Lepisosteus oculatus: one gene and its partners. The protein of the gene in region 1 purifies or fractionates together with the protein of each later gene. This does not show direct contact. Links are inferred from orthologs where the notes say so. Each region holds a gene or a part of one and is shown on either strand. Other genes may lie near its edges.

Region 1 (7,120 bases):
GCTAGAATTATGGCCAACCACGTGTGTGGATGCGTGTGTGGGGCAGAGGATTGAGGAGTTCATTCTGACAGGCAGGAGGCCACGTAATTAGTGGTTTGCACTCATCCACGAGTGGCATAAAGCAACGGGAGAAGACAACACTGCTTACACTCTAGCAGCTGGTGGGCTTGAACACAACAGCAGAGGTTATAAAAGAAAATGACTTCACACACCATGTGTAAGCAAAACATTTGCAAAGCAGGGTTTCAAGTCGATGTGCTGTTCCAGATCCCAGCTTACGCACAACCACCTTACAGCAAGTGAAAACTGAAATGGCTCAAACCGCTCTGTAATGGGGCAGCACGGTGGTTTGCACTCCTGCCTCACAACCTCACAACCCTGGGGGCATGCGTTCACTTCTGAAACTAGGGTGCTCCCTGTGTGGTAGGTTAATTGGCTTCTGGGAAAACTGACCCTGGTGTGAGTGTGTGTGACGGATTGGTATCCCATCTAGGCAGTACTCTGCCTTGTGCCCATTACTTGCCAGAACAGGATCCAGCTCCCTGAATTGGACAAAGCAGTTAGAAAATGGATGCTCTGAAGGCAGATAGGTTTACCTTTGCAAGATCAGAGTGCGTGAGTGATATTCAATTGTGAACCAGGAACCAGGGCTTTCAAAATTAGAGCTCAATGTAAAGTTAATCCGACAGAAAAGCTTTCAAGAAGCCACAGCCCAGATGTGCAAATCCAGTGCAGGCTGAAAACACACGGCTGGATAAAACACCAGAACTCCACCCAGTTCACTTCTCCTCGACCCCCTTCCGTGCTCATTACTATGTGGCCACACTTCTTCAAGCTCTGCAAGACTTTCGACAGCACACCGGAACCACCTCTTCCAACGTTTCCAAGGACTCCTCTCCTCCGGGAAGGAGCTCCGCTCTTTCCCCGGGGAGTTCACTGCAGGACATCGCACCTTCTTAACCCAACAACAGGTAGCCTAAAAACAGCCTACCAACTTCCACAGTCAGGCAAACGCACTCACCCACTACCTGCTCAAGTGAACTTACAATCAAAGTATTGAATACCAGCAAAAACACTACACTACTTCAAGGAACAGGTAAAGTTTATTCTATGCTGAAAGGAAAAGAAAAGAGACAACGTTTCAGCTGTGGAGCCTTCTTCGGGTGCTCAGCCGGGAACCACCGCGTATCTTTCCTTCTCCTCTCAGCCTGTAATAAACCTTTACCTGTTCCTTTGCAGCCTATGCCTGCTGCCGCAGCTCCCTGCTTGGACGTCTCCTATGCCACTTAAAAGTTTTCCTGACTTTTGATAGCGGCCAGCCCACCGTGCCCATGTCTGGACGACGCCCCCGTGGAGGGCTGGTGCGGCCTCGAGTGAGCTGGGAGAAGAGCTGTGTCACGGATGGGCTGCAGCACAGGAGCAACAGCAGGTCATCATGGCAAGCTGTAGTTCTGTAGTTACAGGCGACGGACGCTCACCTCACCCACAGCTCATATTTACCTGCTATTACCCCTGAGCTCGGGTTCAAAGGGGCCGGGCAGCGCACACCCCGGCTCGTCATGTGACCCCCCCCCCCTCCCCCCAAGGCAGACGACGTGGACCGGGCCGGACCGGGCCGCCATCAACAAGCGAGACGCATTTGTCAGGCGGTGGCCATGAACTGACTGTGCAGCCCGAAGACTTCAGTCCCAGCTGCTGGGTACTCCATCAGCACAACCATGTTCACGCCAGGCTATTTTTTAGCGGTTCTCAAGGTCGAAACCGTCCTGTTTTATCTTTATTTTTTTTAAGCCATTCAGGCGCAACTGGTAAATTACTACACAATCGAACAAGTACGTTTAATGTAAATACAACCAAATATTCAGAGCACACAGACGCAAACAATGAGACTAGCAGAGATTTCATTCTATGAAATCGCAACGGAAAATAAATATCGGCACACAAAACCCCGCTCGGCAGGCAGACATCTTCTCATTCATTATCCCCGGCGTGCATCGCGGCACTTTCACTTTCGTGTAAAAACACCACGGCACGTTGCGGGACTTGGGAGGCATATACCCCCCCAGAAAGATCTACCCTGATGATCTGGGGCGATTACAGCGCGATTACCCCAACATCGGAGCTGACCTAAAAGTATCTCACCCCCAGCCACACGAGGGGCGGGTGCAGTTCGTTGCGTTGCTACCCCAGCGCAAGAAAAACCTTAATTTGATAGGAAATGCACGGCCCCCGAGCCATCAAGCCACAAGCATAATTAAATAAATGCAGAATACGTCCTCCAAAAGAAGCTGTTAGCGACCACCTCCGTTTGCATCCCGTCCCGCTGAGCGTGTCTGTATTCCCCCCTCTCCTTTCTCCCCAGCGAGCAGACATGCTCCTACAGCGCGGAGGTCGAGCCTCCCGCTACCTGCTACAGATCCGGACAATATCGAACAAATGAGCCCAGTATTTCTCCAAAATACCCTTTCACACAACCTCCACGCCCCCTAAATAGGTTGCAGGCGGGCACACGACCAGTCGCACCTTTTCAAAAGCTACGTTTTCAAGCGCCCGAGAGACACCCCGGCGCTCAACGTGAAGCGCGGCCTATACCGCGCTCGCCTGCTCTCTGCCTTGCCCGCTGCCCCTGAGAGACGACTGGGTAACGTGAGTGTGTGTGTGTGGAACAGGGAACCTTACTCTGGTCCAAATTTTTCTAGGCACCCCTGAAAAGAATTAAAAAAATAAAAACCGCCGTAAGTGATTCGCCCCTTTCTCCCCTCAGTCCATTCCAACCCCCATCGACTTACATCTTGGTTATCTTATTCAGATGTTTCCTACTCTCCGGAGTGCTGCTCTGCTGTTTGTTTCTCGTTATCTGACAGAAAGGTGTATTTACTCTGAACGAAGTAAAAAAACGAGCGATTAAAAATAAAAACCCGCCGAAGCTCCGAGCTGATCTCCCTTCTCCTCGCGTGTCTCTCCTCCTCGTTCTCGCGCAATGACGCAGCAGCCGCGCGCCTAGACGTTTCTAGAGCTTCCACCGGCCCATCTCGTCTCGTGCGGTCTCCCGCCCCTGGCCGCCTGGGCACCATGGAAACGGAGAGGGCAAAGTTCATCTAAAACATTCCCTGTCCTGGGATCGCCAGTTTGGTTCCGATTCGCATCCAAAACGTGTTACTCAATTAAGAGATGGTGAATATCTCATACCAAATATCTCGTTTTAATTTGTATTACCATGGCGACTGTTGTTTAGAGCTGGGTTTTCTGGGAACTGTAGTTTTTAACTTACCAAAGACTATAAAGCGTATAATAATAATAATAATAATAATAATAATAATAATAATAATAATAATAATAATAATAACTGTTTAAATAAAGAGCCTTTCCAAACCAAAGGGCGCTGTATATAGTGATGAAAAAAACTAATTAAAATACAATAAAGGGTAAAAGAAAAAAAAACAATAGCATACACTATAAACTACAGGGCAATCATACACAGTCCCTAGAAAAAAGGTCGGTTTTAATATATATTTTAATATTTGACCATAAAGAACGTTTACCGTTTGGTTATTAGCATGCAATTAATCTGGGATTCTCACCCAGTCCTGTCTTGGAAGAAGCCAGGGAATTGGCTTCAGCAACATGGCTGCTTAGCTTGCTCCACGCTCCCACCACTCTTCGCACAGAGACGAGCCTTCTGCTCTCGGTTTTAGCAGGACTTGTGTCCTCTGGTTTGAGTTGCACTGTTGATTCTGAGGAAGGTCGCTGGGTTGACTCTGTCAGAGCCTTTAAAGAGTTTGAATGCTTGAAGCAGGTCCCCCTGGTGACTTCTCTGTTCAACATATTTGTATATCTGTAAAATATTTGCGCTGTCGATGCGGCGCATTTCCTTACGTCTCAAAACGAGTTCAAAAGCAGCAACATCCTTTTTGATGTAAAATAATCTATATGTTTGTTTTCGTAACCCACTTCTGTAGACTCATATTAGCCTAGAACATACAGCGGTCGAAAGAGATTTTCTTTTCAACGGTGATCAGTTTCCAAAAACTGTCAAATGAGGTCAAATTGTTCTACCTCGTAGAAAGGAAGAGCGATCATATAATCAATCACGCCAACGGCTACACGGCGATTCTGTAGTCCGGAAAAACAGGTCAACATCGCCGCCTAGTGGACTACCTGTGGAAACGTCTGTAGGATTTAGTCATGTCGTTTGCCAACCCGCTTTATACCAAACGGTGTCGCGGGAAGCCGGAGCCTACCCGGCAAGCAACGAGCGCAAGGCAGGGTACGCCCTGGACAGGACGGCAGTCCATCGCAGTCCATCGCAGGGCAAGTGCAAGCCAATCGTACATGGGGAAAATTTGGAGGCCACGGTAAGGGCCGAGGGGGGAAATTTGACCCGGACACCAGGACAACATCAATTACTCACCTTCTTGTATCAGTCTAGGCCGTGAGACTCGCACTGTCTTCTGCCAGGTTCTTAAAACATGATTTTCAAACAAAAATGCAATTGTGATTTTCTAAGCCTGATTCATAAGTAACTAAGTTTATATGCATATTTTAAATATTCTAAAATTGAAACGCCATGCATTTTATACACGTATGCATATTTTAAATAGGACACATCTTAAACAGCTCAAATTAGCACCTGCACACATTAGCACCTTCACTTTAAGGCACTGCACTGTTTGCACTATGTCCTGTCTTGGCTGTATTATAATGTCTATTGTCAAAATTTATTGTCCATGTCTGTTTGTCATTTGTGCGGATATTTTTTTTCTCTCTATTGTTACTGGGTGCAGCTGAACGAGTAAGCATTCCACTACACTTGTTGTATAGGGCAAATGAAATTCGAATCTTGAGCCTTATTTAAAAACGAAGGATTTGGAGATGGATGGCACAGTGGAGAGCCTTTCGCCTGTGTCTGCCCAACAGAAAACCCAGAACCGCAGGAGAGCAGACTCCTGCAATGTCATTTGCAAGAGGTTTCCCGACGGCCGGTGCTCACCCGACATTCTTCAAAACTGCATCCAAGTAAAAAGATCCCCTCTCTGATTTTGCACTTCCGAGGAAGCACGTTCATCCATCTATCAATCTTCCGCTTTCCTCACGGCAGAGACGGAGCTCATCCCGGCAAGCAACAGGCACGAGGTGGGATACACCCTGGATGGGACACCAGTCCATCACAGGGCACACAGACACATTCACACACTCACAGCCGGGTCAGTTTTCACAGACGCTAATGAACCCACCAGCCTGTACTCGGACTGTGGGAGGAAACCAGACCAGACAGACAGCACCCCCGGTCCAAAGCCGAACTCAGGGCCGCTGCGCGCTGCGCAGTAAGGCAGTATTGCTACCCACGGTGCCACCATGCCATCCACATTCACACTCATGATATTTGTGAAAGCAGTGCAGGCTGGCAGCTTGGAACCTGAAGACTCTGCTCCAGTAATGGCCTATTCAGCTTCCCCTGCCTGACAGCACCGGGGCTTGAGCTTTCCCGTCTGAAGCCAAGACTCTGAGAACTTGCTTGGCAAGGCGGAGGTGTGATAACATCCAGGCAGCAACAGCAAGGATGAGGCTATTTATGCTGCTGCTGCACTTTGAGCAGAGGAGAAAGCAATAGCCGATTCTTTAGATTCACCTATTACAGGGAATGACAGAGTAACTACCCTTTTATTGAAAACAATGTGCAGTTTTCCAGGTGTGGCACCTATGGCTGAGCAGGTCACTGGCTCAGAACAGGAGTATTAGTCTTTGGATGGAGGCGTGGCTGGATAAATGGGTGTGGCCAACAAGAGTTGTGTGGGTGTGATGTTCAGGGCTGCTGAAACACTGAAGATGGAAGGCTACCCTGTGAGTAGCTGGTGTAGGGCACAGTGAAGCCATGACGCTCTGGCTGATCCCTGGAGCTGGATTGCAGCCATCAGTGCCTGGGTGTCACCCCTTGAAGAACACAGCGTGGCCGGGCGAGCTCTAGGGTAACCACACATGGTTACCCAAGTCATGCAACAGGAAGTGCAGACTGACCAAACAAGCAGGACATTAACTTTAGCTTCAAGTCACTAGGGAGCCATTTGATTTTGCAGAGGTGAAACCAAAGAAAAGCTGGCGAGCAACTTGGGGAGATATTCTCTTCAAAATTTGTTAAAATATTTTCAAACATTACTGAAGTCTGTATCCATGATACTAACCTTGTTTTGCAGATTGGTTATGAACTACCAAGGTCAACCGTGTACATAGTGCTCTCAACAAAACATACTGTATAATGCAGTTTCCTGCTCTGTTTCCATGTTTAATTGTTTGCTCATTATAAAATAGTACAATGATGGTCATTTTAATACAGTAAGTTGCACTTCCTAACCTCAAATACGTAGCTAAAGCTTTAAGAAAACACAATCGTTCTCATTTTAAGAATAAAACGGCAAGACTTATTTTAATATTACATCTCTCCCTAAACTCTTACTCATCACACAAATGCTCAGAGACTACCGTTATTCAAACGTGAAATATACACCCACCCCAGACAGAATGAGAGATAGCAAACTGCAGGTGTTGATATCCTAAAACTACATGATCTATTACAGTGCTACCAGCTGTACACTTCCTTATGTGGACAGTCGCGTGCTTACACAGAATGAAAACAGCAGGAAAGTTACTTTCAGCAGCACAAACGCGGCCCTAAAAGGATTGTTTCAGCTCTCCTGCACTGTTGTAGGGGCTGAATGACCGCACACCGTAGAAAAGAAGGCGTTGTATCTCGGCAACGAAAGCAGCACACATGCTCCTTTCAGCAGCACAAATTAACTTATGCGGCGGTTTTTATTGTGGTGTCGTCGGGGGGGCCACCTCATGGAGCTGCAGGGGGCTGGTTTGGATTCGACCAAGAGGCAGTTCAAGCCTCCTGCGCTCTGCTGTGGGACTCCTCCCAGCTCCCCAACAAGTTTGCGATCATCCTTGAGCTCCGTCCTTCAGAGGAGACGGCAGGCAGCTGTTTTTCACTCCACCTTTGTCTCTCGAAGGCATCTGTGGCTAAAAAGTGGCTGCAAACTGGATTTTGGGAAACAAATTTCATGTTTCTAGAGATGGTTTCTATATTCCACCTTTTTAACTTGTAAGAAAGGAGAAAACCTAC
Region 2 (7,183 bases), on another chromosome or scaffold:
AAATTAATCCAATTCATACAGTACATAGAGATCAGTAGGAGATCACGATTGGTAAATTTTCAAGGGGGAAATTTACCAGGACACTGGTACATTCTTTTAAAGAAATGCCCTGGGATTTTTAATGATCAAGAATGAACCTCAGTTTTACATCTCTCATTGCATCAGGAAGAGAGAATGCCTCTTAGAGACTATGTTTTGACAGCATAGAGTGAAGAAGTTGGGAAACGACAACAAAGTCAAGGGGGACTTTACTGAAAAGTAACAAAAACATTTTGGTGAAAACCATTTTAAGTATCTTAGTACCTTGTTCTAGATAAGAACTCAACTGGCCCACTCTTTGTAGTAATCATAGATTAAAAAAACTGTTTAATGTGCATGAATACTGTTACAGCTATAGGCGACTAGGAAGAGTCTCTAAGAGTTTAGATAAAGTTATTATCATCTAGCAGTGTAAACATCTCTAGCTTCAAAACAGATGTAAGGGGTTCCCTGATCAAAACCAAATGGAAAGTTTACCTTGGGTTACCTAGTTAATTAAGCTGTGGGTAAATTATTGACAATGAGCAGTCCAGAAACACACCAGATGAGATCACATCAAAACACAGAAGAGAGGAAAAGGAAGAGGGAGAAAGTTAGACCTCAAGAGAGGAGGCAGAAGGAGATGGAAATTGAAGCTTGCACTGGGCGAGAGCCCCTACTTCATGATCATCCAAACTAAACCTGAGTGGAGATAAGTATTTGAAGCTTGCTAGAGAGAGCTTGCTGTTCTGTGTTTTTAGGGAACTTGGGTTTCCTGGGAATAAGCTAAACATCTTTCCTGCTTGTGGGGACATTTTTAGAATAGGGAAATAGGCTCCCATTTATTTTGTGGCATCGGGGTTTGAAAAGTGAGACATTTAACTGGAGGTTGCATTATATTTATTAAAAGGGAGTTTACTGCACTTCTTATTGTGGCTTCTGTGGGCATTATTTAAGAGTTCAAAGCTTAGTAGCTGTCAGGTTTTCTGGGTGGTTAGGATGTTAGGCCTCTAAAACACCTCATTTGTACATATTGTAAATATAGCACCTTGTGCGTTGTATATTGTGTTGTGTGCAGCGTAGTGTTTGCCTTGTCATTTGTTAATAAACATTTGTACCTGGATCATTACTCTTTTCACTGAAGCTGTACCAGAGAATTCACATGCCTTTAATTATACCAACCGCTCAGGTATATTCTGGAGAAATCACTTACAAGTTGAGGGTTATGAATAATTATTTTACTAACTGACTGAAGAGCTCAGTCAATTCCTGAAATTCACAATTATTGTAACCCCTCATTTGCAACAATACACTTTCAGTCTCAAAGAAAAGTAGTTTTCTTAAATTCAAGTTATGCTTTTCTCAGTCCCTTTACAAATCATTCAGATGGACAACCGCCCCAACAGACAGTGGAAGGACAGACTGATGTAACCCATAGCCATGCCCAGAAGGCCACACATATCCATATTTCTATACAACAGTTACCTTTCATGAAAGATAAAGAATTGTGGAGTATAAGGTACTAAAACACACCTATTTCAGCCTTTTTTTATATCAGGACTTTTAAAATATTTTTTTACAGAGCACTCGAAAATGTGCCTTTTAAGATTTCCACAGTCAATGCTATATTAAAGACAAAAGAAGAATCTGTTTATGCTTTCCAAAATACCTCCCGAAAACGATAAGCTATTAAGATGCAACCAGCAAATAAAACAACCCATAAACCTCCCGTTAAAGCCTGCATAAAACCTGGCAATAAAATGCGAGATGCGTCACCATTTAATATCCGCCAACTTCTGTTTGACAGATTTTAAGGCTCATCCAACGTGCCATAGGAAAGCAAGTGCCAGCGTTGTCCAGTGGTTTGCTGGACATAAATCTGATCGACTAACTTTTGAGTTAGCAACAGATGTTACTGCTCTACCGCAAGAAATGCAAAAACTTCACACGAGTATGAAACGAATTAGAAAATAATAATTGCTGAAATGAACTGATAAATTCCAGAAACTGAAAATAATTAAGCTGTTTTTTTAGATAATTAATATGGCTGTTGCACATCTAAATGAAAGAATGTTTTATTGGAAAAGGACAAGATTAAATTAATAATTTGTAGTATCTTAACTGTAAGGTACTACCGTACGTGCATTATCCAAAATGGTCCGCGCATTCCCCAGGACTAAGGGCACTGCACATTTTCCTTCGTTGTTATTGTAAAAGTCATCGATACCTACAGACCCCCTAACACGTTATCCTTAATACTTCTTTAATTCTAATATGGTGATTTTCTGAAAGTTGTGAAGTCAACACACGAATACTAAAAACAGTTCAAACTGGAACTTGAGTAGTAAAATAACGACCTCAGCAAAGTAGTGTTTAATTATATAGTTTTATTTTTTAATTATTTGTATTAAGTGCACTGAATTTCATGACGTTCTGTTGCTACGGTCCCCATTCATACTCGTAATCAGCTACTGAAAGTCCATTACGACCAACAGGAAGCCTTTCTCTCGAACTACTGCGATGACTTCCTTCCAGCAAGCAGTCTTTCTCAGCACTCCGCCGCAGTAATGTTAAATTAATTGCTAATTGAAAGTTATGTCAGTGACGTACCTTGCAAAGCAGAATTCACAGTGGTTGCCTCTCTCGTTGACTGTCAATACGTAAGTATACGCCGGGCACGTAAAAAGAAGATCTCCAACTTTAAACTGTTTCAAAGCCCTCAGTCCCCTGCCTTTGCCAGGACTGATAAACCTTTCGATTCCTTCTGGCGTGCCCTCTGTCTTCATTTTCTTGACGTGGTTATTTCCTAATCGTGTCTTGCCTTGCTTTTTCTGATAATTTTGGAAGCACTCCCAGTCAATGTTCTATTCGATCCCTTACTACAAGAAAGATCAGGTTTTGCCTGGGTGAATTAAAACCTTTGCTATTAATGGAGCAGCGTCACTCTCACCCAGAACTACATAAATGGTAGCAGCAGATGGCTTACACAGCTACAGCATTGCTGCAGGATTCCGTGGGGTCTTAAGGACCTAAGGTTCAGGGTAATACACTGACGTATTACGTGATCTCCAGACCTCAGGGTTAAGAAGCCACGCTGCTGTGTGTTAGACATACTGTATACAGTACAACAGGATAACATTCTGAGTGATAATTCTTACGTTTATGTGTTTGGTATATTTGCTAGACAATAAATTAACTATATTATACAGTAACACCTGCTGTTTAAGTGTGTCTGTATTTGTTCAAAGTTATTACCACCATTACCCTTTGTTCAGGGAATGTTTATACAGTAGCTGTGTGCTTCTGTTCGTACACCATATGAACATGTGAACGGACATCATCAATTTCAACTGACAAGAAAAAAAAATGTTTATTCTGTTACTCAGCAAAAAAAAGAGCACTGGTAAGGATAGGACCTGCAGCTACACACTACTTGAAAAAATAAAATCTTATATTGCAGCAGTGACATACAGCAGCTACTGTAGCATACTGTAGCTCAATAACGCTATAACTGCAGCACAGCACTTGCAAAGCCATTCCACTACTGTCTGTAACACTGTTTTATAAACTGCAGCATCCTGCCCCCAATACTTCCTGCCATAGAAGCAGCATGTCAAGAAGTAGAATACTTTATTAAAAACATTATTTCTGTATTGCAGCATAAACCAGGTTGTTAAAGACTCCAGTTTTGCTAAACCTTGTGAGATAAGAAGGATAAGAGCAGACTTTCGTAAACCTCTTCTGAAGAGAAGACTTCAGTGCTCTATAATTAGGTGTACCCTACTGCTAATGAGCAGGACAAATATCAATAGAAGGGATTTGGGGATATTTATCATTAGATTTTTTTTCTTTCTAGGAGAACTTTACTAAATACTTTTGGAAAGGGAAAGGAAGGAAATTATATATTTTGTTTTCATGTATCCCTCACGGTGTTTAAATTTATAAATGACTGGATTGCAGTTTTAGGAATGCCTTATTTTGCTGAATAAAATTGACTTGTTTCATTCAGCCCCAGGGTCCCTCGTAACCTAGTGTCTCATGTGTCCACTGAATGAAAGTAGAATACACCTTTAATTCAAGAAAACACGAAACACATCTCCCACAGTATATTTGTCTCAATGTGCAAGTCTCTGACAGCCATGCAGGTGTCCCATTATTGCATGTAGCAATTAAAGATTGAAAAGTGAGTCACCTTATTTGAATACCACAGATGCAACAAGCTGCCTATTAGAACATGTATTAATTGCCTCCTTCAGAATATTTAAGTTTAATTACCTTTTTTAGCTGGTATACCTAATCATTCATAATCATTTTCTATTTATTGTTTTAACTGTGGACATGAAAGAGGGTGTGAATAATTATTGTGTGCTTATGTAAAACATCATTGAATGAGTAAATGAAACTATTATGGTTGTGAATACGAGTTCAATTGTAGCACTTGAACTTCTGTGAATATTACTACAAATGACTGTTAATGGCCCTTCAGCACAACCACTAGACATCCCATGGATAAACTAAATAACTTTACTCTATGAAGACCTATGCTATACAAATACTGTACATGTATTTTTGGAAATGGATACTGTATAAATCTAAATATTTAAATAACATTTCTCAAATAACTATTCTACTGCAGTAACAAATCAAACAAAACCGAAAAAGGCTTTAAATGTATTATACAAATTAAAGTACAGTAACATAAAAAAGGTTTAAAATGAAAGGAGGGCATTCAAACCATGTTATCTATTAGGTAGTTTGCACTAAATGATCCAAAAATGTAATCCAGCTGTTTATTGGAAGAAGCTAGAATACAGAATCTCTTTAAGAGCTTGGCTGCATAGCTTGTTACGGTCTCCCACACCCCATTACATAAAGAAGTGCCTCCTATTCTCATTTTTAAATGCACTTTCACACGCTCCATGGTATGTCCCTTTATGCATGTTCCATTCTGAGATAAGCAATTATAGGTAAATATAACAATTGAGATCACAGAAACATGGTTAACTGAAACCGATGATGCCGAAAGTAACATTAGTGGATACACACTGTTCCAGAGTGCAGGAAAGACAGAAGTCCAGTGCTATACTTTATATTAAAATGAGTATTCAGGTTTAGGAACTTAATGTAAGCAAGATCTTGAGTTTCTGAAATTAAGTAAGTCAGACTGTTCAAAAGTCATTCTAAAGGTATAACGTTAGGTGTGTGCTATAGACTCCCTGATGCACATGTTGATTATAATTCAGCAATGAATTAATTCAGAATTCATTTTAGCAATGAAGTAAAGAATTTATGTAAAAAAAAAGAACTGTTTTTATTAGAGACTCCAAATTTTTCAACAAAGACAAGGAGAAACCAATTGGAATGTCAGACCAATACCAGATATTTTGTTGTTGTTGTAATGTGTGGTGACCAAAATAAGGCACAACATTCTAATATTTATTTTAACATAAAATACTTTGATTTGAATGGTACACTTTTAGCTATATAAAATCATGTTTGCATTGTTTTTTTATTTCTACCCATATATATGGAGGTGGTGTGGAGTACTGGGTAAACCTTTGGACTGATTATTGGCAGGTAATGGGTTCACATGCTCACTTTCATCCAGCTGTTTATTGAAAAAGAAACGAGAGCATCTCTTCAACACCATGCTGTAGCTTGTTTCAGACTCCCACAATCTGTTGCTTACGGATGTGCCTCCTTTTCTTCTTTTTAAATGCACTTCTACACACAGTAGTTTCCATTTGTGCCCTCTGGTTTGTGTTTAACTCTTCATTCTAAAGAGATCTGCTGGGTTAACTTTGTAGCAATACAGTATATTTTCTAAAACATGATGAACAATAAGGTATAGAGGTATACTTTACTAAAAAATGTGGCCTTACAAGTGTGTGATAGATAGATAATACTTTATTAAACTTTTTTTTTAAATTTTATTAAATTGATGTGTTACAGCAGTCCAACCCAAGACAAGCAAAAACAGACATCAGAATAGTTATAAAACAAAAGACAACAAAATAAATAAATAAAAAATAAATACATAGGTGTGTGCAAAATGTGATGATCATAGTCACTGTAAAAACAATTCAATATGTGCAAAATGTGCATAGGTTTATACAGACTGATTGTCCAAAAAGTACAATGGCACAAACATGCTGTCCATAGACGAGCAAATAAAGGGCTAACAGTCCTAGCCTAGGCAGTGTTATAGACCCTGACAGCTGCCGGGAGGAAAGACCTGCGGAAACATTCCCTTGAACACCGTAAAAGTGCTCCGCTGCCCAGTAACAGTCCCATGAAGCGGATGAGAGGTGTTGTTCATGATGGCTGTGAGCTTGGTCAGAATTCTCCTCTCAGCTACCACCTCCATGGGGTCAAGGCTCATCCCCAACACAGAGCCAGCTTTCTTGATAAATTTATTGAGCCTATTTGCATCTTTTGTCATGAAGCTGCTGCCCCAGCACACAACAGCGTAGAAGATGGCCACCGCCACCACTGATTCATAAAATATGTGTAGCAGTGTTCCACACACACCAAAGGACCTGAGGCTTCTAAGAAAAGTTGGAGAGTTGGCTCTAACCTTTCTTGTACAGGGTGTCAGTGTTACCAGACCACTCCAGCTTATCATCCAGGTGTCCTCATCCTGGATGGAAACAGGGTTCAGCGGAGGCAGGGTTCTGCTATACCATATTTTGATTCAAAGTCTATACTTTTAACCGCATATCCAAGCATTTAGTTTGTCTTTTTAGTTGATCTCCCACGTTGTGTAGAAGGTGTAAATGTCATGTCATCATAAACGTCTAAATCATTTTCAGAAGCAGCCTCTTCTAGCTCCCATTTTGTCATTACTACTTGCATGCAATACTCTGTACTTACAAAATCTGCATTATATGTCATCTACGAGGCACTTTTAAATCTGTTTGAAATTAATTTGCTGATTTTACAGGGTTTAACAATCTTTCTAATTTGGTGCACATTTGATTCACTAATTATTCTTGAATCCAGATCATTGATATTAATTAGAAAGAGCAGAGATCCTAGCTCAGATTCTTGCGGTACTACACTAAGTACAGTACTACATCTCTCCAATTTGAGCATTCACTCTTATCAATGCTCTCTGCGTTAATGAATCTGTAAAATATGTTTTATTGACGAGTTTAGCCATTCA
Region 3 (7,031 bases), on another chromosome or scaffold:
TGCGGCCAGAGGGAGACCAGGCATTAAAGGGGTTCACGTAACACAGCCGGCACCTGGGAACACCTACAACCTGGGCTGACAGTGGGCTCCTCCGCCCTCAGGGCTGTTGGGGCTCCCTGTTTTCTACACGGCTGGCCGGGCCTGCTGGATTGACGATCGGCCTCAGCCCAGAGCAACAGGCAGCACAACCTGTCCCGCCAGGCAACCAACTGGTCCCCCAGTTTAAACACTGCTTATTCCTCAAGCTGCAGAAAGCACGAACCATGAACATGTTAACTGCTTCTTTTCAAGCAAAGGGGCCTGTTAACGGTATCCGCTCTTTTCTAAAAAAGTACTTTACAGTCCTGGAATGTGGCAACCCCTAAAAAAATACACTAAAAGCCTACACAGAGCACCTATATATGGCGAGCAAACCATCAAAAAGCATCACACACCCGAAGAAGGCTCCACAGCCGAAACATTTTGTTTCTTTTCTTCTCTTTTCAGCGTGGAATAAACCTTTACTTGTTCCTTTGCAGCCTACACATGCTGACTCAAGTAGCTACCTCCTTGAACTACATCAAAAAGGGGTTTCTTATAATGTATCTCCAGGGTATTATTATTCTTTAATCTTACATTAAAAACACCAAATCAGCATTTTACTATCTACAATGAGTCCCATTGACTACACCGAGTACCATTCAATGCAGCTATTGGTTAATATACACAATACACACAGGTCTGTTCATAGCAAGAAGGCACCACATCCAAACCTCACCACCACCTTGGAAAAAACAAGCCCTCCACTCACTCATGATAAGTTATTCCTGGGGCTAACGCACTGAAGACCGCTGTCACTGTTTTATGGTCATGCTTGCACTTAAATCCACCAGCAGATTCCAGTAGCGTCCAGGATGAAACAGATTCTGATAGCCCAAGCCCTGCATTCAGCAAAACGTCACACCTTACCTGGTTACTCTGTGAAGGAGAAAAATAGTCCTCTTGCTTTCGATGGTAATATCGCGACTCAGTTTCACCAGCCTTTCGTATTTGTCATGCTTGGTGTCCAGCTCCAGCTGAAATGCTATAAAAAGAGGGGGAAAGCACTTCCTGTGAATTGGCTTCATTACTCTGCTCTCCTCCCCACTGATAGCAGGTGTGTGGTGGGCATTCTGGCGCACTATGGCTGCCGTCGCATCATCCAGGTGGGGCTGCACACTGGTGGTGGTGGAGGGGAGACCCCATTACCTGTAAAGCGCTTTGAGTGGAGTGTCCAGAAAAGCACCGTATAAGTGTAAGTAATTATTATTATAATTATTACCTTGACACCAATTTCAACTGTTCTGTCAGGGTACTACAAAAGAACTAGCTCTTAAGTATAATGCAGAGACTTACCAGCAATCAGTCTGCTCATTTGTTGCTTCTATTTCTCTATTGCTCTAGCATGAAAAAAAACGTATTTCCTTACATTTAAATGCTGCCATCACAGCTGAAGTTGTGTTAGTACCATCGTCCTGATCTTCCATTTTGTGGGTCGGAGTGTAATCTTGTCTCCGTTTCCGAAAACTTCCATCACCTTTGAAACCAAAACCCATAAACACACACAGGCATGTTACCACTCAAACGGTATGTTATATGGTCTTAAACCTCAAACAGCAAATAGACAATGAAATAACTGCTATTGCCCTGTAAAAAGGTTCCGTTTCAAACTTCTGTACTCATATCAACGTCCTGTCTGTCAGTTTATAAAATAAGATCAAAGCGCAGCTACAGAGGAATGATTGGGTAAGATCTATTCTTCACTGTTAAGGATGTTCATACAATTTAAAGGAATGTGGCTTCTGAGATCACAAACGAACTATTATCATTACTTATTTAGAAGACGACTTTAACGAAGCGTCAAACAACTTGTAAATAAGGACCTATTCGCGGGGCAATAAAAGCATTTGAATTTCAAAGGAAATACGGGGATGTAGCCGCATTTCAAAGGGACTGTTCCCCAATACCATCAGAAAAGGCTCACGTGTAAAACAAATACCGTTAACAATGCGAACAGATGTGTTTTCACAACAGCGGTGTACTCCTGCTCGCCTTAGCGGACTAACCCCGTTCAAGTCTTTGGTTAGCTCTGAATGTTGTTAGCTGTGTGATCTGAGATTACCCAGTTAAACGCGCATTTTCAATGAATTTTACTTTCAGAAATTGAGTCTCTATTTTCCTTCCTCTTTGTGACTGCGATTAATTAGCTGACAGATGCCATTCCTGAGCTTTTTAAATCAACCACAGCTGATTATCTTATCCCCTCCCTCTTAACCAAATTAACAACACCCAATGTATTTTTGAAAGGAGGATTAGCTCGAAAGGACAATTTTGGCAATTAGCCGTTCAGCCCACACTACAACCGACAGCGTGTGAGCAGACATCATCACTGCTGCTTTTAATCCAATTAATGTCAGAACTGTCCACACGCAAGCACCTCGTTTGAAAAAAACAACAAATATAAATTAATGAATATTAAAAAACAAAAATTTCCTACGACAGAAAACTCCGGCTTTCAAGCAATATGTCGTGAATTCCGTTACTACCTACAAAACAAATCACTGAACACTAACCTTCTTTTCTACTCATCGCGAACTAAAATAGTTTTTACCAAAATGTTCTTTGTTATTTAAACTCTGATTGACTTTAATTGCAGAAATTAACAATCGCCAATTCGCTGTGCCCAAGGATGTGTTTACATCAAACCACGCTTTCCTAAACAACCATGTTTCGCTCCTAGAACACTGGATATGCTGTAGCTGCCTTACAACTGCCTGTTAAATTAAAACAGAAAAGAAAGAAAATCATGTAGGTAAATAAAATATTTAGAAGTTTAGTTTTATTCACAATAATCGAATAGAAATTAAAAAGAACGTCGATGTTGTTTTCTGACCGAACTGTGACTAAGACGTACTTATTTTAATAGTGGCATGAGCTTTGCTTTTCAGGCCGGGAGCCGATCTTTTCAATTTAAAAATACGTCATACTGGAAAATTGCATTTTGGGAAATGTATTTTTAAGATATAGCGGCTCTCTAACGTGGTGTGTACAGTGTATACGTACTGTACAAGACCGGTATTTCATTTAAAAAAACACTCAAAAAGTTAATGCAATTCTTACACGTGAGCACATAATAATTAATGACAGGAAAAAAAGTAGATTATTGTTATGGATCCTACAAGTATATGGGATGAAGGTGTGACAAATGCAGGGAATTATGCTTCTGTTATAACTGATTATGCGGTACCTTTGATCATACAATGCCTTTACTATATTCAGACCGAAAAAAAAAAGAAATCTCGTCTGGTTTTAGGGAAACAAGGCTGATTTTGCCTAATCGGGTTAAGCACACGCAGTGAGGAAACTTGCAACCCACAAACAAAACCCAAGTCCAAATACGGGGTGCATTATAATATCAAAAGTGAGATATGAGGGTTCCGAACTATTGTGCCAAGAGAGGGTGGCGCTTAAAACACGTTGCTTTGAACAGCAGTATCCCTGGAGTCCACAAAAAAGCTCAACAGCTGGCCTATCATTTGCATTAATAAAAACAACGGGATTTTTCTGGGACACTCAGAAAAAACATCTTTCAAGGGTCCCAAGATGCTCTTGGCACCGTTAGATCACACAAAACACAGATACTTCCCGCAAACGTAACACCTTCAGGGTGTGTGTTTAAATGCGTTATTTCTTCTTTGTAAGCACTGCCTGATCAATAATTGCTGTAGAAGATGGCAAAATCGGCAAATCCCGGATTTCTGATGGGTCACGAAGAATACATGCAATGGCAGAGTATTTCGAAGAATAGGGAAACGCGCGCTGCGCGTCGCGTGTCGTAAATGCCAGATCTCCACAGAAAAAACTACGTCTTAAAATAAGCGCTCGGCAGTTCTGACAGCAGCGGCTGGGTGGCGCTCCAGGGACGAGCCCCTAATTTCAAGGCTTCAGTTCTGAGGAAACCCAGAACAGATTTAGTTGTTTCCCCCCCCTCGGCATTGTGACGTCGCTGTGTCTGGAATTCTGAGGCACAGAGGCGAACGCGTTCCGAAGCGCGTCGGAGCGGCCGCAGGTGTCACGGTTCCGAAACCGCCTACGGGCTGGGCACCCGATTTGTCTGGGCGACTTGACAACGCCGCGGACTGCACACAGACACGCACGCCTCCCCGGCCGCACTCCACTGCTGGGGTTCTTGTGAATGGCTCTAGGCGGGCCCTGCCCTTCCCTCGTTGACGTCAGGGGTTGGGGTTGGTTAGGGACGACGTGAGGAGCGGAGAAAGAGCGCGGCGCCATGTGTCTCTGGGAGACTGGCGCTCTGAGACCAGGGGCATTTCGGAGTGCAGAGGGAGTGCGCCATGTGCCGTCTGCACTGTCCGGTGTTCGCCCTCCAGTAACCCGCAGAGGGTAACGCAGCGTGGGTGATGAAAGTGCGTCGCGCCGAAGCGGAGGGAGCAGGTTTTCCTTTGGGCTTGTTTGCGGCGGCGGATCCCTTCCAAACTTGTACTGCGCCGCCGGGGCGAGGGGCAGCGCTGGATTTAAAGGGCCAGTAGCCGCCGCTGAACTTCGCAGCCATGGCGAGCGAGGAGGGCACGCTGTCGGACCTGGAGCGGGACCGGCAGTACTGCGAGCTCTGCGGGAAGATGGAGAACCTGCTCAAGTGCGGGCGCTGCCGATCCTCCTTCTACTGCAGCAGGGAACACCAGAAGCAGGACTGGAAGAAGCACAAGCTGGTGTGCAAGGAGGCGGGGAAAGCGCCGAGCCCGTCGCAGCCGGAGAAGAACCGGGCGGTCCGAGACGGGAAAGGAGCACAGCCGCCGCAGAAGGCCCGCCCCGGGCCGGACACGCCGGCTTCCCAGAGCCCGGCGGACACGGGGCCTCCGGAGAGGGAAGGGACGACGGATCATATCAACTGCGCGGACGAGCCGGGTGGCATCGCCAACAACAAGCAAGCCGGGGACGGGATTCACAATAACATTAAGCCCAACGGTCAGACGAAAGCCCAGCCTCAGAAGCTGGCCATGGAGTACATCGTGCCCTGCATGAACAAGCACGGCATCTGTGTGGTGGACAATTTCCTCGGGGAAGAGGTTGGACTGCGCATCCTGGAGGACGTCAGAGCCCTCCACCAGACCGGCAAGTTCACGGACGGCCAGCTGGTCAGCCAGCGGAGCGACTCCTCCAGGGACATCCGGGGCGACAAAATCGCGTGGATCGAGGGGAAGGAGCCCGGCTGTGAGAAGATAGCCTTTCTCATGAGCCGCATGGACGATCTGGTCAGACACTGTAATGGTAAACTGGGAAACTACCAAATAAACGGGAGGACGAAAGTAAGTAGCGCCCCAGGTGCGGACGGTGTAACCCCCCCGGCGCGCAGGTGCACATAACCCTCCACACCCCCTCCCCTCCCCTCTCCTCTCCTCTCCCCTGAGCAGGTGAAAAACTGGCCCGCCAGCTGTCGTCGGGGAACCGCCGGGTAAACACCTCCACGTGTGAGGAACGAGGCGCCAGGATGATTGTTGTCTTTCGAGAGTTTTGTTTCACGCGTGTCTGTAAAATGCGTGAGATGACACGTTTAGCACCGAGTCTTGGTGGGGGGGACAACACTTACTTTGACCTGAAGCAGCAGGTGACGGGGAAAACAGACGAGTTTATTCCAAGATCCATTAACAATACCGGGTGCTTTTCCAGCTCGTAAGTAGTCGAGTTCCTTGGTGTTTGCTCTTGTCCGACACCTCTGCACCATTCGTTTCCGTCAGACGCAGTGGCAAGCAGCTGGAATATAGTCCGTGACCCCTTTTGACGTGTTTTCTGCGATGGACAGTTACAGGGGTTAAAAGGGAAAGTTGTGTTTGTGTTTTTTTCCTGGAGTGGGGAAAAATGTAGCTGTTTCCATTCGACAGCGATGCAGGCATTGTGTGTGTCAGCGTTAAAATGAAATCATGATGGACTACTGACCAGCGATCCTTGGGCGAAATGCTCTTCACTTTGACGAAGGAAAGCGAGGCCTTAGTCCGCTAATAACTTTGTAGACACGGACCCAGGCTGAGTCTATCAGCGCAGTGCCTAATTGTCTAATGAAATACGCAATACCAGCTCAATTAAGAACCCGTTCTGAGCTGTATCCTTTCCAGAATTCTTATTGAGATGACAAACGTTTATTTTTCGGCGATCGTTCGATACCGGTGTAAATCATTATAGCACGTTGTACGTGTTTGGGAATGAAAAGCATCAGGGAGAGTTTTACGCACACGTGATTTAGAAAGTGACTGACGGATGTAATTCCATGTGACCGAAGAAGATTGAGCCTGGAAGTGACAGATGTTCCGAAGTCCAGAAAAGAGCATTTCTGTATTCAAATAACGGAGAAAATAAAAGAGAGGTTAAAGAACATTTTAGGATTAAAAAAAAAACGTGGCTCACTAAATTAGTCGTCTGAATTCTATATAGGCTGATTTCACTGCAGTGATAATGTTAATCCCTTTTTATTTTTTTGAGCACGTTTGTGATGAGAACAAGGAAAAAGCCCTTAAGAGAATCGAGCTATTTTGTTTTTAAAAAGTGCATTAAAATAGTATATGAAGTACAAATGGAGTAGTCGAGCACTTCAAAACACAGACCCCTTGGATTAAGACGAGAAAGCTTTAACCTGTCCACATTTGCTGAAACTTTATGCATTTGTTAGAATGCATATTTGTGTCTTTTTTTACAGCAAAGGCTTTATTGAATTTATACAGAACAGCATAGCAAAAAAGTGCTGTTTTGTATAAGTCAGTTTGACATGTGTTTTCTTTCTTCTCTTTTCAGCATGGAATAAACCTGTTACTGAGAAATGCTCAGGTGATGCAAAATGATCATTAAAATAAGTTGAGCAGTGTTACGTAGTTACCATAGGGACAGACAGTAAAGACGAATGACCGCAGTGACTTTGTAACAGGAGCTGGGAAAAGAAACTGAGGAAAATGTTATCGTTGAAGAAAACGAAGGACAAATGCGAGCACAGATGTTAGAACTGTAAT
Region 4 (7,413 bases), on another chromosome or scaffold:
TCCGTCACACGGGATTTTAAAGAATCCCGGTTCTTGGGCAGTTAAAGGACCCTGATCTAATCCCACAGCCCTTCTCACCCCAACCCACCTTCTCTTCGGCACTGCATTATCATCGTCGCTCTCATAGACGGCCACAATCACCTCTTCTTCCCCTTCTTCAAGGACGTCACCACCCTCCGCAGTCAAGGCCTCCTTACTGAGCTTCAGCAGGCGAACTGCCTCTTCATCCTCACTGTCTTGCTAACACCCATGAAGGTTAACATTCATTAGAGGAAATGTGACTCCAAATCTGTACAAAGGGCTACACATTGATTCCAGATCTGTCCAAAGGGCTACACATTGATTCCAGATCTGTACAAAGGGCTACACACGTGCTACACTTTACTGTTGCAAAACAGGACTTGCACTCAAACATGCCATACAAAAACAAGATTAAATTTGTATTACTCACATTTAACAGCAGCAATGCTGCTCAATATCATTAACTCAAAACATTGGATAAAGTGTAATTACAGTAGATATTTATCAACAGGACATTTTGCTAAGATGATTTAAGACATTAAAACGAAGAAGAAACAAGGATAATAATATTTTACCTCCAGCATTAACTGAAACCCAGAAAAACACACATTTTTAATTCAAGTGACTTTAATGGACAATGGTTCTCCTAATCCATCTATGACCAACACGTTAACTAACTCAGTGCCTCCCTCTGTGTAACACACCCTCCCCTTACTCAAGCAACACCAAAATAGGTTTTGCTTAAACAGCTCTGAGCTAAAATGACAATTATATTAGTTATTAAACAAAACACACAGAAAATATTTTCTAAAGATATGCTTCATTAACTGGCACAGAGAAATGAGCAATAAGCGTAGTCTTTTGTCTAAAGACCACTCCTGAGGAGCTGGCAAACCCAGCGACAGTCATACCTTGCGTTTCATTGTGTATTTGAGCTTAGCGTTACGTCGCATCAACTCCAAACGTTCTTCCCTTCTCTTCCTCTTCAACTCATCCTCCTAGACAGAGAAAAGAAAATCAGGATATCTCCTCATGTAGTTTCTTATGTAAAGTGAAAACAGATGTCAAAGGAAGCTTTGATGCTTCAGTCAGTCAGTCCCATTGGTATTTTGGCACTGCTAACAGACGCAAACATGCCTTGTGGAACTGATTATATTTTTTACTGAAAAGTTCCTGATCTCATTATTCCCTAGAGAGTTCCCAATCTTAATCCCTTTAAACTGTTTCTTCAAACTTTTTTATTAATACCTTTAATTTGCTGACCAGATCTCTCTCCGCCTTCTTCTGCACGAAGTCTGTGATCCAGTTGGGCTCTGCAGAGTCTGAGCTCTCCTGGCTCTGGGAAGCCTGTTGGCTCCCTGCAGAGCTGTCTGTAGCAAGGTCCCCAGACTCTAGCAGGCGAGCTGTCTCCTGCCTCTTTCTCTCCTCGTAGTCCCTCAACCAGGTGAGGGCACCACAGATCAGACTGAGAGACTTCCCCTGGAACACAGAACAAGTGGGTCGGAAGCTTGCTCAGCTTCAAAAAGATTGAGGGTGTAGCTTATTCAGCTAGCAGCTCACCGTGCAACTCACAACTGGCAATCTGCTGAAGATTAGCCTGGCCAGTAACTGGATGGGAGACCTCCTGGGAAAGGACGAATTGTAAAACCAGGGTCCTGACTCTGCGTGGTCATTAAAAATCCTAGGGCCCAGGGCGTTTCTCAGAAAGAGTAGGAGTGTTACCCCGGTGTCCTGGCTAAATTTCCTCCTGGCCTTTACCAATCATGGCCTCCTAATAATGAATTTGTGAAATAGTGCCGCTCATTCTTAGTTATACAGTAAATGCACTTCCTCTTTATTTCCACTTGTGTCCTTTGGTTTGGGTTTCACTGTTTATTGTGAAAAGCCCACTTGGGTTTACTTCATCAATGCATTTTAATTAGCAGAATTCCCCTCTTTCAGGAACAGTATATACCCCTTTTTTAACCTAGATACTTCAAACCATATTATCCAAGTGAGAGTCCACAGGCAGCCTATTTAGCAAAATGTCTTTATGTTGAATATGTGATATTAAAGATTATATATTTAATTTAGCTGACATTTATTAAGCATGACCCATGTATATAAAGGGAATAATGGAATAACCAAAATCTATGTTTTATGCAGAATATATCATATATTGACAGTCCTTGAAAAAATCCCAAAAAAGATTCATAATGAGAGACCTCTGAATTCACACACTGGAAAGCTTACTCTGTCTCAACATTAGGACCTAACAGCAATTCAGGAGCTGACAACATTGTGTATCAGGCTCACTTTACTGGAGACAAATAATGACTGTGTGAACATGTCAGCAATATATAGTTATTATTCTTTGAGCTGGACAGGGGTAAACCATGGAAATAAGACAATTAACTCACTGTTCCAGTAGGGCTCTCAAAAATGCCAACCTTTCCTTCATCTAATGCAGTGTACAAAGCCTCCATGAACTGCTTCTGGATGGAGTATGGTTGGTATGGAAATGGGAACTGTATAGGTCCATCTGCCATCTTGAAGCAGACTATGTTAAGAAAGAGAAGTAGCACAGAAAAGAAGCACAGAAAAAACACATAAATCATACTTTATTCTGTCCTCATCCCCATACATGGAAGCAAAGGGCTTACACATTTTGAGTACAAGTGTACAGAGTACCCCATACTGCTCTAGTAGAACTGCACACAATGACACAGACTCCCACGAGGTGGTCCACTAAGTAGAGGAGTCTGTCTAGGATTGTACAAATGTTATTGGGGTTCTTGTCTCATGACTGTCAAGATTTACACAGGAACTGTGTACTAGGCCACCACTTCCAGAGTAATCAGCACTGTTGGATAATTACCCCCGGCACAGAAACAAGTTCCTCCTGGAGAGCTTTCTTGTATTTTCTGTCAAAGGTTAAACATCCTCCACTGAACACGATAACCAGCCGATGCCCAAAACCCAACTCACACCACCATAGACTTTAATGTGTTCTATAGATGGTCTAAGAATTCAGTCCTACCACATTGCAACAGTATAGTGAAACCTAAGACAACAAAGTTTTCCAGGAAACGTTTGAAAAAAAATGTCTCTGTGCTTCCAGTTTTCCTAAACAAATGCAGCCTCAATGTTATCATAAAATTTTAAACATGGCTATAATTATAAAAAACTAAAGATCCATAGTGATTACTCCGTAGAAAACTATAACAAAACTCGCAAGCATAATCTAAATAAGATGAGAACAGTCATCAAATGAATGGATGCCTTAAAGTTCGGTCTAATTCTGAACCGGATCAATGACCAGCCAATCACCGCTCGTGTGACGTCAAGATCGTCCAATCACTGACTGCAGGTCAGACATCAATGGCAAGATATTACGTTTAAACAAGCAACTTCTAAAATTAAACCCATTGTTTAACATTGATTTAACGAGAAATGATTAGTTCCCTGTTTGTCTTCCGTTTGTCTTCTATGGGTAAGCAAACTCAATTATCAAATATATAAACATGCATAAAATCCACCGCGAAGATTGACCAATTCAGCACACAGCAATACACGGACATAAATATACTCAGCTACTTGTAAACGTAAGGAATAATCTGTTGAAATATTCACCGAGTAGTGTGCAGTACGATAGCCGCTGTTCTTGCTGGAGGGCTCACGCTGTTGCAAAGAGCGCGCCAAGTGCTGGGGTAAAATCAGCCAATCACAGACACCCCCGCGATGAACGGAAGGGCTCAGATTACAGCCGGGTTAGGCAAAAAAGTGTTAGTCATTACCCCCAACAATTAAACATATCAATGATTTATTCAAAGCATTCATTGGAATCGTTTTCTCATCTCACAATTCATATGAATAATGCTCTGTGTTGTTACACATACAAAAAATGTATGTGTAATATAGATCGATATATCGTTTTCCTTCTTTTCCAAACTGAACCATTTAAGAGAAAAGGGAGTGTCTACAAAGTTTTAGATCAGGTAAATGAATTAAGTCCTTTAAAAACATACCTACTAACTGTTTGGATTAATGTTTCGTTTACTTTCAGTGCAACAGCCGTTGCAAATTTGTAAACTTGATGATATTTTCAGAACAGGAACACGATTTACTTCCATTTCTTTTCCTAAAACTCATCCATTAATTGTCAGCCCGGTGAAACAATCCTCGCTACTGAAATAAACATGCGTTTAACCGTTTAAACATTTAAACATGATGTATATTCATATTCCCCGCAGCACGTTAAAACCATGAGAAAAGTTTCTGAATTTGCCTAAGCTGCTAATGCACAAGAAGGTTTGCGTTTTTTTCGCGTGTGGAGATATTGGAAGCGACCCCTGGCGCAGGCTACAGTTCAGCCCGGCGCGGCTCTGGAAAGTTCTGTGCCCGTCCTCCTTCGGGGAGCTTGATAGACGGCGCTCGACTGGCAGCCCTGCAGTACGAAGCACACCGCGCGTAGTTCGCAGACGCCTCTGATGCGGACTTTTCGGAACACTGAGATTGCTCTCTGATAAGAGATTTTAAGTCGGCTGCGATTTAAATATATAGTTTATATTTTGTAACAATAAGCTATTGCTTTTGTGTGGATCGATTCCGACACAGGAACAAGCGGCAGGTTTATATCGCAGGTGTTTAAAATTGATTAAAGAGAAAGGGGGTCTGGCGATATCTCCATTCTAGCTACTGAGATCTGAGATTCGGTTAGAATTGCCGTTACAGGTCAGGCGAAATGACTGCAGAAGAAGTAAACGCCGAAGGACAGCAAACGACCCAGATGGAGGGGGAAGACATTACCCCGAAAAAAGATGGAGGAGTTTTAAAGGTAAATAATCTGAATGTATAAAGTGCACGTAGTAGTAGGAAGAGTGATTAATAGCTATTACATAGCTGACTCGTTTTTAATAACGTCTTAATAAATGCGCTTAGTCACCCTGCTGCTAGAAACTCGGTTTTCTGTGAACATGTAAGCCTTTGATTTCCCATAACGTTTTGCATAACTCTATGGTTTTATCTTCATTTGCTCTGCAGTTGGCCCGGTGATTTTTACGTATTTATCCAGACCTTAATAATCGATTCCTAAATACCAAATTGATTACCATAATACTTGGTAAAAAAAAATGAATGGGTATGTGGCTAGTTTGTATGTAAAGGGACGGATTTTTACTCTGACTTTGCAACGTTGAGGAGCTATAAAACCACTCGTAAATACTGCATTAATATTATTAAATAATATCTCGGGGGTCGCAAGGGCAAGTGAAAATTTAGAATGTCCTTATATTCCATGCCTCTACGTTGAGTTGATATTTAGAAATGTTCTGCAACTTTTCTCAGTGCAACCAAATCAGAATTTACTTTCTCAGCAACTACAGGTATTAAGACTTAAACGTCGGAAAGCGAGTAAATGTCACCAACTTTCAAACTGCAGAAAGTACACTGCCCTGGACTTTTCGCACTGAAAAAGTATTTGCGCAGTCACCTTCTTAAATCGTTCTGCAGTCGAATTGTAGCATCTTACTATGTGTTCCACCAATGCCTTCCCCGTTTTTAGACGAATTTAGTTTCATTGGCTTTGAAATTTGAGAATTAATGACTTCCTGCCCTCTTTGTTGCTCTACCGCCTGCGTGTCTGGGCGCACCGCGAGTGTGGTGTTGGTGCGGCTGGAAGCTCCGAGGGTTTTCTAGAACACTGGAACCCCCACGTGCAGGATCTGTCCACGCCGAGAGCAAGATCGCTTCCGTGTCAGTGTTCAGAACTAAGTTCACAATGTCGTGTGTTGACAGGCTTCCTATTGACCAATAGGAATATTGTAATATAATAGTAGTAAACGTCCGCATACCAAATAAATCTAGAATTTCAATCCATTTCAGTTTCTGGACTGTTGGCTGTGAAGTTAATTGACACCTCAACCTGCCAAACCTGAATTCCATATGACAGATCCGTTACAGCGCTTTGAGAAGCCACCTTTAAAGGCGCTATATAAAATAAAGTTTATTATTATTATTTTAATTTTAAGAAGGTGATAAAAGACCTCTTCCTTATTAAAGCGTTGTCTTAATCTATTACCCAGAATTGGAAGATTAATCTTAAAATCCACCTGTTTAACTGGTAATCCACCAGCTACATTTTTGAAAGAAGGTAGATACCTTTTTAAAGATGATAAGTGGAATCAGTCAAACCAGACAGGAAACAGTTTGTGCATCTGTTGAAGATTTTAAACATACTACATTAAAATTCTATACAACATTGAAAACACATGATTAGTTTGAAACTTAACAAAGCATTAAATGGAGAATTAGGCCTAGTGGTTATCTATTAAGTTAATCATGAACATTTATGCTATTTTGTTAATCTTGGACAGTTTGAACTATTGTTTTTCAATGCTTACATATAGTTTTACTTACTGTCAGATTATCCCTAATGTACATGATTGGATGTTTTCATTATCTTTCAATGTGAAAATTAGCATAAACATAATAAGAGAACAAATGTGTTGGAATTGCTTAAGTTTTATTAACATTTGCCATATATGAGCAGTATTATTTATTTGTATTCGTTTTGATTCTTAGGTGATGATAATGAGATGACTGTACAACACAGCATAGCATGTCCCTTTGTGTTTATTTTGTTTAAAATTACCCATTACAGCTCTGTGTACAGCGTTGTGATCACCGTGGTCACTCCTAGACCAGAGTTCTGGGCAACCTTTGAGGCTACCAGGTCTCATATTGTGAAATAAGGTTATTGCAGTTGCACTTGTCTTTCCACCAGCCTCAGGAGAGTGGCTGACCCTTTAGCATAGTGCATGTTTCACACTTTGTCTGCTTCTCAGAGGAGCCCAAAATGGTGATCCCATGTAAGATCTGTCCACATGGTAGTAGGTGTCATAATACATAATAATAATAATAATAATCATTGCTTACACTTACATAGCGCTTTTCTGGACACTCCACTCAAAGCGCTTTACAGGTAATAGGGACTCCCCTCCACCACCACCAATGTGCAGCATCCACCTGGCCATAGTGCGCCAGAACACTCACCACACATCAGCTATTAGTGGGGAGGAGAGCAGAGTAATGAAGCCAATTCATAGATGGGGATTATTAGGAGGCCATGATGTAAGGGCCAATGGGAAATTTGGCCAGGACGCCGGGGTTACACCCCTACTCTTTTCAAGAAACACCCTGGGATTTTTAATGACCACAGAGAGTCAGGACCTCCGATTTACGTCTCATCCGAAGGACGGCACCTGTTTACAGTATATTGTCCCTGTCACTGAACTGGGGCATTAGGACCCACATGGAGCGCAGGGTGAGCGCCCCCTGCTGGCCCCACTAACACCTCTTCCAGCAGCAACCTTAGTTTTTCCCAGGAGGTCTCCCATCCAGGTACTGACCAGG

The links.
Region 2: the proteins of prostaglandin E synthase 3 (region 1) and smyd2a purify together in Homo sapiens (affinity purification with mass spectrometry; 3 studies listed by BioGRID and IntAct, with this or other methods). This does not show direct contact. The link is inferred for Lepisosteus oculatus from reciprocal best matches to the Homo sapiens genes PTGES3 and SMYD2.
Region 3: the proteins of prostaglandin E synthase 3 (region 1) and egln1a purify together in Homo sapiens (affinity purification with mass spectrometry; 5 studies listed by BioGRID and IntAct, with this or other methods). This does not show direct contact. The link is inferred for Lepisosteus oculatus from reciprocal best matches to the Homo sapiens genes PTGES3 and EGLN1.
Region 4: the proteins of prostaglandin E synthase 3 (region 1) and fkbp4 purify together in Homo sapiens (affinity purification with mass spectrometry; 3 studies listed by BioGRID and IntAct, with this or other methods). This does not show direct contact. The link is inferred for Lepisosteus oculatus from reciprocal best matches to the Homo sapiens genes PTGES3 and FKBP4.

What each region holds. Positions count from the first base shown.
Region 1 is NC_090696.1:20,892,883-20,900,002, forward strand, and holds the start of prostaglandin E synthase 3, read right to left. Parts: upstream 3,017-7,120; 5' UTR 2,792-3,016; coding exon 2,790-2,791; intron 1-2,789. UniProt on the Homo sapiens protein: Cytosolic prostaglandin synthase that catalyzes the oxidoreduction of prostaglandin endoperoxide H2 (PGH2) to prostaglandin E2 (PGE2).
Region 2 is NC_090697.1:21,658,938-21,666,120, forward strand, and holds the start of smyd2a (N-lysine methyltransferase SMYD2-A), read right to left. Parts: upstream 3,012-7,183; 5' UTR 2,805-3,011; coding exon 2,629-2,804; intron 1-2,628. UniProt on the Homo sapiens protein: Protein-lysine N-methyltransferase that methylates both histones and non-histone proteins, including p53/TP53 and RB1. Specifically trimethylates histone H3 'Lys-4' (H3K4me3) in vivo. The activity requires interaction with HSP90alpha.
Region 3 is NC_090712.1:5,069,607-5,076,637, reverse strand, and holds the start of egln1a (egl nine homolog 1), read left to right. Parts: upstream 1-4,028; 5' UTR 4,029-4,586; coding exon 4,587-5,342; intron 5,343-5,623; exon of another isoform or gene 5,624-5,647; intron 5,648-7,031. Other genes in the region: tsnax (translin-associated protein X), read right to left, coding at 949-1,063, 1,448-1,555, 2,592-2,607. UniProt on the Homo sapiens protein: Cellular oxygen sensor that catalyzes, under normoxic conditions, the post-translational formation of 4-hydroxyproline in hypoxia-inducible factor (HIF) alpha proteins.
Region 4 is NC_090702.1:11,471,034-11,478,446, reverse strand, and holds the start of fkbp4 (peptidyl-prolyl cis-trans isomerase FKBP4), read left to right. Parts: upstream 1-4,405; 5' UTR 4,406-4,744; coding exon 4,745-4,837; intron 4,838-7,413. Other genes in the region: ATP-dependent DNA helicase DDX11, read right to left, coding at 89-240, 933-1,019, 1,270-1,500, 2,421-2,549. UniProt on the Homo sapiens protein: Immunophilin protein with PPIase and co-chaperone activities. Component of steroid receptors heterocomplexes through interaction with heat-shock protein 90 (HSP90).